Xenopus tropicalis: one gene and its partners. The protein of the gene in region 3 interacts with the protein of the main gene of each other region in a pairwise test. Links are inferred from orthologs where the notes say so. Each region holds a gene or a part of one and is shown on either strand. Other genes may lie near its edges. The genes, in order: git1, sh2d1a and arhgef7.

The links.
Region 1: the proteins of arhgef7 (region 3) and git1 interact in binary tests that used the Homo sapiens proteins (3 or more experiments, as listed by UniProt). The link is inferred for Xenopus tropicalis from reciprocal best matches to the Homo sapiens genes ARHGEF7 and GIT1.
Region 2: the proteins of arhgef7 (region 3) and sh2d1a interact in binary tests that used the Homo sapiens proteins (3 or more experiments, as listed by UniProt). The link is inferred for Xenopus tropicalis from reciprocal best matches to the Homo sapiens genes ARHGEF7 and SH2D1A.

What each region holds. Positions count from the first base shown.
Region 1 is NC_030678.2:32,819,921-32,823,390, forward strand, and holds the end of git1 (ARF GTPase-activating protein GIT1), read left to right. Parts: intron 1-19; coding exon 20-232; 3' UTR 233-2,873; downstream 2,874-3,470. UniProt on the Homo sapiens protein: GTPase-activating protein for ADP ribosylation factor family members, including ARF1.
Region 2 is NC_030684.2:49,046,810-49,051,120, forward strand, and holds the start of sh2d1a (SH2 domain-containing protein 1A), read left to right. Parts: upstream 1-1,384; 5' UTR 1,385-1,606; coding exon 1,607-1,743; intron 1,744-4,311.
Region 3 is NC_030678.2:116,924,928-116,928,584, reverse strand, and holds part of arhgef7 (rho guanine nucleotide exchange factor 7), read left to right. Parts: intron 1-792; coding exon 793-852; intron 853-2,442; coding exon 2,443-2,589; intron 2,590-3,657. UniProt on the Homo sapiens protein: Acts as a RAC1 guanine nucleotide exchange factor (GEF) and can induce membrane ruffling. Functions in cell migration, attachment and cell spreading. Promotes targeting of RAC1 to focal adhesions. May function as a positive regulator of apoptosis.

The DNA of each region.
Region 1 (3,470 bases), about 84 Mb from region 3:
TCTCCTGTGTTTGTGGCAGAAACCTGCCCTGGAGACAGTGCGATCATCACTGCGGCTACTGAACGCTAGCGCCTACCGACTGCAAAGTGAGTGCCGCAAAACCATCCCGCCAGAACCTGGGGCCTCTGTGGACTTCCAACTTCTGACACAGCAGGTCATCCAGTGCGCTTATGACATCGCAAAAGCTGCCAAACAGCTGGTCACCATCACCACCCGCGAGAAGAAGCAGTGACCACTCCAGCAGCCAACTGGCATTTCCATTTCCAAACTGTCAATTTGCAATCAATTTTGCTATCCTTTCATATTTCACACATGACTCCGAGGGGCGGGCACAGCCCGTCACCCCTCTAACCCTAGGAATTGGCTTCCTACATTCCACAATAGCTGGATGAAATGTGCAGCCCCATAACCCCCCTGTATATGTGCAATACTGACCTTGCTCTGTACCATCCTACTGTCTGTACTCTCTGGTTGGACGTTCCTAACAAACGCTAAACGCTGAAGGAATATAATGATTGCAATATAAGTACAGTCCTGTGTGTTCTCCTATTGTAAAGATTTGGGCCTGGGTGAAATTCTCTCCCCATCACTATCATCATATGTAGCAGAACAGAGTATACAGTACAAGTGGTTCTCACAGTACAGGTGGATCAGGTTCCATAATGTACTTGTGTGCAACTGCAGCTAGAATATGTCACCCCAAGCCCCACAGAGCTGTAACCAGCGCCTTTTATTTAAGTTTAAAGGTGCAATCATAGAGTTCCAGAATAGCACAATTTCCTTTTATAGTCTTTCATATTTCCTTGTTCTGATAGTGGTTTGAAGAGACTAATATGTAATCTGTGCTGTAGGATATGACGCGTGTGATTGAAGCTGTGTTGTGGGGCTGCATATTTTGGCACCCTTTAGCTGTGACCAGGCAGCACCCTGAGGCAGGAGGCATCATGACTATGTACTATGCAGCAAATAGACAGCAGCTAAAGGTGCACATTGTATGTTCCCCAGTCTGTTTGCTCTAGAGCAGGGCCCATGCATAGCCTGTGTCAGGCAGCCAATCACATACACTTCCCTGGCACCAAGCAGGGGGCAGCACTCATCCATAGGTGGCAGTTACATGCGCCATGCTGCAAACACTAGGCAAAGCACAAGACTCATGCTGAGCCGGACATGCATTCGCTCCAGCACTAGAGCAGCCAGTCCTTACCATGCAGTGCCGCAGATTGTTATTAATGTGATCAAGGCCAATGCTAAACATACACTGGAATCAATGCGTGTGTATATATATGAATATATACATATAATATTTACTAAGCATTTTTTATGTGAACAGTAGGGGGATTGATGTTGGACGACTGTTAAATAATTGATATGATAACCACTTTAATGTTTTACTCTAAAGAGTAGCACAACGGCAATGCTCAGAGTGGCCAGAAATATAACTTGATGTTTGCACTGACTTCTTAGGCACCCTGTGGCAGACAGGCCCCTACCCTAACCCTGCCTCCTCCCCGGATGTCTATGTATCAAAATCATGTATATTATATATATATATATATATATATATATATATATTGCCTGCTGACGTGAAGTACAATGTAAGGCTCAGTATCCCACTGGCAGTGCTGCTCCAATGGATTTTATGCTTGCCGTATCCTTGGGGCCTGCACTTAGTGTGGGAGTCGCAACATTTTACCTATTGCCGTAAGTAATGTTACCAGTGTCTGCCATAGATACAGCCGCTGGCAGAGACCTTACACTTCTATTGGGTAGAATCCACACACCAACTGAATTTTTTTTTTTTTAAATTAATTTTAAACCCCCACAAGCTGACCAATTATTACCCTGGAAATGACTCATATAATTTGTATCCTGAATTTCACATTCAGATGAAAAATTATCCACTTTCATTAGTAGATTGGCTTTGTAGGAATGCTTGCCTTTGCCAAAACAAGGGATGCCAACCTGTGGCTTTTTCGCTGTAATGGATTGCAGCTCTTGGCAGCCATATTTGATACTGGCAGAGGGCACAGGTTGCACAGTCCCGGTATAATGCCTTATGGAAATCTCTTTACACAGAAGATGGAAATACATAAAAACAAAGCAGCTGTGGCGAGATATAGACCCTGCTGCTGCCAAGTAGAAGTCACTTATATTTTTGGAGATCGTTATGTTTTTGTAAGAAGGGGGCAAAATAAAAAGCTAGATTAAATGGAATAAGAGTGTAGATTCCTCAATTCTCTGTTTCTGTGTGTCACTTTCTGTGCCAAAAAACATGCAAGCAGATGCCCTTTTTTTTTATTATGGCAAGGACTAGTAACGTTGTCTTTTATTCTATGTTAGTGGCCAAAAGTCTATTGCTCTTTACAGCAAATGCCCCTTTGCATTCTTTGGAAAGCCGTAAGGAGCTAAATGGACTGTAAAGGACAGAAAAAGGACCTCATACATGAAGCCATCTTTTCATATTGGCTAGATCTTTCCGGAATAATGTTGCTGTTGGGTTAGCGCCGTAAGGTTAGACTAAAGGTAGTTTGGGCATTGAATGTGAGCAGCGGTCCTGCTGTTCCATCCGCGCGTATCTGCAAGCTTTGTTCTTACACAGTAGGCAAAATGATTGTACTTCTTACAAGATGCTCCCAGAAGCCACTACATGAGAGGGACCCGCTGCCACCCACTGATCTTGCTGGGGATTTGTATTTTAAAAAACCTGCTGCTCAGAATCTCTCAGCTCCCCCCTTGCCGTACTTGTTCATACAGATTAGTGCAAAATGGCCGACCTTCTCCATCCTGTTATTTGTGAGAGCTTGGTGGTGGGTGTAATGTATAAAATTGCTCATATTGTACATTTGTATCAAATTAAACAACTAACAATGGAATGTGTCCCATGGAGTCTGTTATAAGCTGAATTCTTGGAGATTGATCTCTTGGATGGTATTGGTGAAATAAATGGATAAATTGCATTTCACCACATGCCAGTCTGATGGAAAAGTTTGGGTCTAGCAGATGCCAGGGGAACACTACCTGCCTGAATGCATCATGCCAATTGGAAATGGTTGGTGGAGGAGGAGTAATGGTCTGGGGCTGATTTGTTGGTTTTGGCTAGGTCTCTGTTCCAATTATAGAAAACCTAACTCTACAGGTGAATATAGACATTCTAGACCAGTGCTGTCCAACTTCTGCGGTGCCGATGGCCGGAATTTCTCTTGCATACATGGTGGAGGGCCGCTAATGGAAGCCAGTTTTGGCCACGCCCCCGTTTTAAACCACACCCACTTCAAACCACACCCATTTTATCACAATGGGATATCAACCATCATTCATATGTTAAAGAATTATGTCATATTAAGACACACCCTTACATCCATATGCCTCCTCCTCCCCTGTGGATAGCACAGCAACCCCCAGCATATAATTACACACCTTAGGGACCATTTAATGGCTATTTCCAACTGCTAACAAACTCCCAGAACAAA
Region 2 (4,311 bases), on a different chromosome or scaffold from region 3:
TTTACATTTAAAAAAAAAAAAATAGGCACCCTAGGGCCGCCCCCCAAAACGTGCCAAAATAAAAATACATCCCGTCCATGTCTAAAGAACAACATCACAGAAAGACATTCAATTGTTTCATATCATTTATGGCTTTTATTACATTCTACCATAACTAAAGCTTCTCCCAGAGTTCTATGTAACCTTGAGGCCATCAGTTTATACTTTCTATCTGCATGTGCTTTAGTTTCAATGGTACCAAAATTTCTAAAGAAGTAAGGAAAAAGAAGGTAACAGAATACCATGCTCTTGCCACTTAGTAACAGAGTACCATGCTCTTGCCACTTAGTAACAGAATACCATGCTCTTGCCACTTAGTAACAGAGTACCATGCTCTTGCCACTTAGTAACAGAGTACCATGCTCTTGCCACTTAGTAACAGAGTACCATGCTCTTTCCACTTAGTAGCAGAATACCATGCCTTTGCCACTTAGTAGCAGAACACCATGCTCTTGCCACTTAGTAACAGAATACCATGCTCTTGCCACTTAGTAACAGAGTACCATGCTCTTGCCACTTAGTAACAGAGTACCATGCTCTTGCCACTTAGTAACAGAGAACCATGCTCTTGCCACTTAATAGCAGAATACCATGCTCTTGCCACTTAGTAACAGAGAACCATGCTCTTGCCACTTAGTAACAGAGTACCATGCTCTTGCCACTTAGTAACAGAGTGCCATGCTCTTGCCACTTAGTAACAGAGAACCATGCTCTTGCCATTTAGTAACAGAGTGCCATGCTCTTGCCACTTAGTAACAGAGAACCATGCTCTTGCCACTTAGTAGCAGAATACCATGCTCTTGCCACTTAGTAACAGAGTACCATGCTCTTGCCACTTAGTAACAGAATACCATGCTCTTGCCACTTAGTAACAGAGTACCATGCTCTTGCCACTTAGTAACAGAGAACCATGCTCTTGCCACTTAGTAACAGAGAACCATGCTCTTGCCACTTAGTAACAGAGTACCATGTTCTTTCCACTCAGTCCCTTATATCAGCACTTCCAGCTCTCATTCTTTCACAATCTTATTATTATACTAAAACCACAGGTACACATTTAAGAGTGAAGGTATGTAACTAGGGCAAAGGATGATGACATTTAGAGCAAGAGTTCAAGAAAAAGGAATTCACAGTTCTGACAGGTTGATGAGAGGGTAATATTTAGGTTACAGATGCCATCAGTTTTAGGAACGATTGTGATGCTTCTTAATATTCTAGGGAACCTTGTTTTATTAATTAAAGGTTGACTGCTTGTTAGCATGTTGCCTGTTTTAGATTGCATGGCTTAAATGCTTCTCTAGATAATCATGATGGAAATTACGTCCACAGTATTTTTTCCTATTATTGTTGTAGGCCTGGCAAGAGTGATTTCACGTCAGCCTACTCGTGCTCATGTGTGTGCTTGTGGGATGATTTCATGAGTAACACGTTGATGTCTCCACCTGTGAGATCCTGTCTCGTCTTTGTTGCATTTGCTTTGAAGAGATTAAAGACAGCGTCTTCCTCCCCTGCTTGTCTAGAAGTGCTTCTTCCATTGCCACTCTAGCAACAGACTGCTCTGCACCCAATGGAGAAGGTATCAGTTTACCATGGAAACATTAGCCGGGAGATGGGCGAGAAGCTCCTGAGCGATGTAGGGAAAGATGGGAGCTACTTGCTACGGGATAGCGAGACCATGCCCGGAATGTATTGCCTCTGTATTCTGTAAGTATCTCTACTCTTTACAGTATCATTACATGCCCTTTACAAGGCATTAAAATTAATTTTCCAATGGGTGACATTACTTAAATATGTCTAGGACTCTTACAGATAGAATATTCACTTCTTGAACATTTATTCCTTGTATCAGTATTTTCTCAATTTCAGCAGATAGAATCGAGGCAGTATTTGGTTTAACTAGAAGTTTCTTGACCCCAAAGTCTTCTTTAGGGATCCAAAACATCAAGGAAAAAAAACTTGTTTTGCAAATATAATCAAATATGCTACAAAAAAAAAAAATATAAAACAATATGGTACAATGACATCTCTACTAGGCCCTCCGTATACCTGAGCACCTTTGCAGTTGCAGAGCCTGCTGTCTCTATCATTATGGCCTCTCCAAGAGGCAGCATAAAAAACTTATCTTTCTGTTAAGAACCTAGTCTATTCATCTTTGGGTTTGCTTGGTTGCTAGGATCAGCAGGACCTGAGCAACCAGATAACCGTTTAATCCCAAACTATATACTAACACATGTAATTCTGTCCCTGGAAATGCATATCAGTAATCTGAACCAAATTTTAAAAACAAAATGTAAGAATTGTGGTTCCCACTATTTTACTGTTCAACATAAATATGAAATAAGGCTTAGTTAGTACTATGTGAATCAGTAGCCATTTTCAGTAATCCATAGCAGCCATTCAGATATTTGCTTTTAACACTCGAACTACTATAGAACAATTATTGCTTATTGCAGTCATTGCAGCACTTATTTGGAATAAAATTAGTGGGGACAAACCATTAATGGGAGACAAAAAAAACCCAAATAGTTCAGCACTGTGCAGTCGAATTTAGTTGAAACCAAAACCCAGGCACTGCTGTGAAATATGTAGGTCACAGGCAGAGAGATATTACATTCCACTATTTCCTGGACTGGGGGGAAAATACAAATGCAAGTCTATATTTGCCTGTCAATCCCTTGTTTATATGGGAAAGAGGAGGATCAAGGTAGACCGACATATTGCCGAAATGCTCCAGTATTGTTAATTGCACTGCATACACTTGTTTTATACATTTCTAATCAGACCTTTTCAGGAGCGTTCTTTCTCATCCATGTGGTCTTAATGCCCAATCTGAGTAGAGTCAATGAATATTGTATTACAAATGTGTTCATGTACAAAGGGACCTTTATTAGCTATTATATGTAGTCACATTCAGGCACATGTACAAACACAATCACTTGATGGAGGAAGTTATTAGAATTTTCTTGCTTTCTAGTAAACTGCTGTCCATTGTAGCTCAGTAGTACAGCTGGGATTTGGTTACAACACCGGCTTGGGTGTCTGCTTCTTTTCTTATTATTATTTGTGATAAATATGTAATAAAATGTATTTCACAGGTCCCTTTGTAGAGGTATATATATATTTATTTATTATAACACTTGTCCTCCCTGTGTGTAATTTTGTATTTTGTAAGATTGTACAGTGCTGCGTACCCTTGTGGCGCTTTATACATAAAGTTATACATACATACATACATACACAGGTCTCAATTTGTATGGAAGTTTAAGGGCATATTCATGAAGGGGTGAAATGGATCTCACCACAGTTCACAGCTCTCTTTATTTGTATGGGAGTTTTTAGGGGCCTATTTGTTAAAGAGTGCACTCTCATTTGCACCCTATAATAAACTGCCTGTAAAAAACTGTAGCAAGTTATATTTCTCTCCTTGATAAATATATACATGGGGTGTAACGTGCCATCTGGAATAACCCTCCATTCCTGAGCCATGGTCACTCTATTGTCCCGTGAAGCCTACAGCATTTGGGTTAACATTTAACTCAGTGGGGCTTTATTCCTAATAGCAGTCACTTACCTTGCTCCCTAAATGTAGGGTTATGTAGTAAAACAGACTAGAATATCTAATTGTTTTTTGTGGGCCACTTTGTCTGAGGAAAATATTGCCCTTAGTACTACATTAACCCTTTATGTGTGATACCATGTGTCAAGTGTAAAGGTTATGTGGCGCCAGTAATGCAGCCAATGTGAATTACAGTCATGTACAATACTCTACATTCATGTGGGTGGGTAAAGAAAAGAAAGATCCTATTTTCTTTCTAGGAGCAGAAGATGCGTTCCCATTGTACACAAGGGGACTTGGTGCATAAAACTGTGATTAAATCACTGGTCTGGGGGGGTCATGTAACAACATTTGCACAAGGTATAGTTGCCAAATCAGACAATCATTTACTGCTCTGCTGTTTGACTGCAGTCAGCAGTGTCAGGAAAAACCCTTCTATTCATCCCCATATAGGATGAATATTTATGTTTATGTTGGCATTAGTTTTAGCGAGTTGCGAATATTCTGGTGACAAAAAAATTTCAAATATTTCTGCTATAAAATAGTCTTTCTTTATGGCATTTAAGTTTGCAACTATTCATGCTATAAAATAGTCTTGTTTTATGGCGTTTATTTTTACTGACACATTTATGGCCATATATGCATTTTCAAAACTTTATTAAGTGATTGTGAAGATACCATCAACAACATAATAAACACATTTTACCAAATCAAAC
Region 3 (3,657 bases):
GTTTTGCACATTTTGCTTCACTGTTGCATAAATAGAAAAGTTAGAGGCGCAATACCATTGCCAAGTTAAAGGAAAAAAGTAAGTTTATCTTTGATTTCTGTGGCCTTACTACTGTATGTGCCATGTGAAAAGAGAGTGTCAGACTGATTTTATTCAGTGAATCTTCAGTGGCTATGACTAGAGCCTCACTGTTCAGGCATATCTGTTCTCTGTTTATATGAGAAATGACTGCACTTGTATTGATCTGTTAATTTTTATTGGGGTGACAGGTAAAACACCAGTATTTACCAAGAACATTTCAACTTCCTTCCTAGTGGGTAAAGAAAGGCAATTTGAATATACAAAGTCCATGGTCCTTCCAGTTTGCCTTCTTTCTAATTATTAAGGGCCAACCACTTGATTGATCAAACTCTACTTGATTGACTGAAGTAATGCAGAATATAAAACTGGCTAGAGGAGTACTGTGTCTGATTAATCACAGCAGCTATGTTGTTCTTTGTATTGCAATATAGTTCCCTCTAGGTGGGGGTGTCGACAGTTGGTTATGGGGTGGGGCATTATATTATTGGGGTCATTGACAAGATGTAAATTGAACTCTTCTTACCAAGCACTACTCCCTGGGTTATCTTATAGCCTGTACAAAGATTCCATACATGTATTCTTGCGTAAGTATTTATCTGCTTTGAGCAAACATTTGTGCTGAAGATTTGAGGGTGCTGTGGCCCTTTATGCTTTTTTACTGCTTGTCTGAGAAAAAAGTATGATGTTTATTTTTGTACCTGTTTGTTTCAGGACTATCACCCAGATCGACCAGATATCCAGAAGTCTATGACTGCATTTAAGAATCTCTCTGTAAGATAAAATCATCTATATATTTAGGGAAAGAGTCAGGCTTTGAATGTATACCATGTGTTTAGTTTACATTTATTTTTATTTTGGTGATATGATGTACACTGGACTTGTTCTTGAAATATTTCCTTTTATACATCTGGCTACCACAGGGTGTAGTTCATGCTTAATTACTACTTTTTCACAAGTAGGTTTTGTACTTTTTTTGTTTGTTAGTATGCTTTTTTTAATCCAGCATTTTTTGTCCTACTAAAAAAAACAGTGCAACCGTGCTGTTAAGGCTGATGCCAGACGTGACGTAGGGCTGATATTTTCGGCAAGCGGAAAAACGCTTGGCGAAAATACAGCCCTACGCCTGCTACTTGTGCCTGCACCCAAATGAATGAGATACGCTCGGGTGCAGACACATGTAGCCGATATCCGCATGAAAACGCGAGATAATGCAAAGTCTCGTGTTTTCATGCGTATATTGGCTACATGTGCCTGCGTCTGGCATCAGCCTTAGATTGCTGATATCAGCCTGCGAGATCAGGTGAAACCTTTCTGCGACTCACAGCATGAATGCTGCTGAATAACATATGTACGAATAAATATATTGGCAAAAAAAATAACAACAAATAATGTTTACAAAACCAAGGTTTTCGAGATGGGGCTCTTCGTCACCTGGCTGGAAATCTCCTCTCCCATGGGTGATGAAGTGCTCAACAACACCTGGCTCTTCACTTTCCCTGGAATTGTCCAAAAATGCAGAAGAAGGCATTTTTTAGATTTTTAGGGAATGATACATGTAATGTGTTTTACATGTGGAAATTTTAGGGAAGGTTTAGGGGCAGGTATTGGTGGACACTTCATCACCTGCCAATACCTGCCATGTTAGCACCCTGTGTCCTTAAAGGAGAAGGAAAGTTAAAATTACTGGGAGTGCCAACTGTTAGGCACTCCCAGTGATCACTGTGGGTGCCTAATACCTCTTCTCTACTATACACGTGCTGGGGAAACAGAAAAAAGAAGCGGGGAAAAAAAGATCGCTATTTGGTGCTCATACAGAGGTTACCCAGGGTACCGGCCTAGAATATAAGATAAGTGATTATAATGACTGGGTGGTGGCTAATATTCAGCAGCCCCCAGTGATTTTAACTTTCCTTCACCTTTAAACACCTGCTACTATTTAGTAGAATTTTTATAATCTAAGAAAAAGCACAAACATTAAAACACTGCTTCATAGAAGTAAAAATGTAAACCCGGCACCAAACTCAATCTTATGTAGCAATAAAGCAAGTTTCAAGTAATCTTCACATCTCATGTGCCTCTCTATAACTTATTTCCTTTCATGTTTTTTTTAATTTCAATGATTAATTGTTTATTTAATTGGAGTCTCTAGCAGGAACAGAATATGGGGCATTATTATGAATTATTGCTGATTATGTATAGAGCAATAAATTAATTCCATTATTTAATTACAATATTTATTTTACTCTGTGCACTGAAGCATCAATTATCTTAGCACTTTATAGTAAGAAATTGGTGCTACATAAGCATTTGAAGTCTGGGTTTTATTTATAGTTTAGTAATAACCATTATTTGCTTCTATAGGCGCAGTGTCAAGAAGTAAGAAAAAGAAAAGAATTGGAGCTGCAAATCCTGACAGAAACCATTCGTGGATGGGAGGGGGAAGACATTAAGACATTAGGCACAGTTATATACATGTCCCAGGTTATGATACAATGTGCAGGAAGCGAGGTAATTACATATAGTTACATAGTTACATAGGGTTGAAAAAAGACCATTGTCCATCAAGTTCAACCCATCCGAGTAAACCCAGCACACAACCTATACTAACCAATCTATACACTCACATACATAAACTATATATATACAACCAGTAATACTAATACTAACTAATAATTGGTGCCTGTTTAGAACTGATATCATAGTCTTATGATATATATGTTATTAATTTGTCCATTACTTTTATAGAGCTGCTGATGGTGCATTATGCTCAGTTTAAAAATATGGCATTTTCATACATAAAAGGCTATGTCGGGTGCTTTAAGTTCCCTACTTTTTGGTACCCCTTAAATTCAGTCCCCTTATACTTGAAAGCTCTCAAAGCAGCCCACCATACATTTTTATGTTAATCGCATAATTGTGTCAACTCTTTGCATTTCCAGAATACTATCCCTTAAGAAGTGTTGAAAAAACATGGCACTAAAGAGCCTAAAATAGGCTTGTGTGCAATTGCTCTTTGAAAACTACTTGTAAATAAAGTTGACTATACACTGGCCGAATGAAGAGATACTGATCAAGTGTTGATACACGTGTATAGTCACCTTCACATTCCAGCCAATGGGCTGAACTGCAGGTAGTGAAGTGGAGCTATGGCATTTATTCACTTTCTCTTCTGCTGATGTACTCACCAGCATGGTGCACAGGCACATAAAAGATTGCAGGATGATCAGTTGAACTGCAAGCCATGTATGGCCTTCATCAACTCTGGATGTTATTTACTTCCAATGCATGGATCTTATATGCAGAGCAAAATTCAAAACATGAAGCACCTGTGGTACTGCATATAAGGTTCTGTAATAGTGCATTAATAGCCTGCAAGTAATTGTATCCCTATAAGATTATGAGGTATACATATGAGGATAATTTTGTCTGTAGAAGAATAAAGAAAATGACCTGACCACAATTTTTTTTGATTGGCACCTAAGCTGCAATTTTACACTGGCTGTCTTCCCTACGTGTGCGTGCTCACTTGGTAGCTGGAAGGCAGGAAAAAGGATGCAAGGTGGCGAGTAGCTCGCA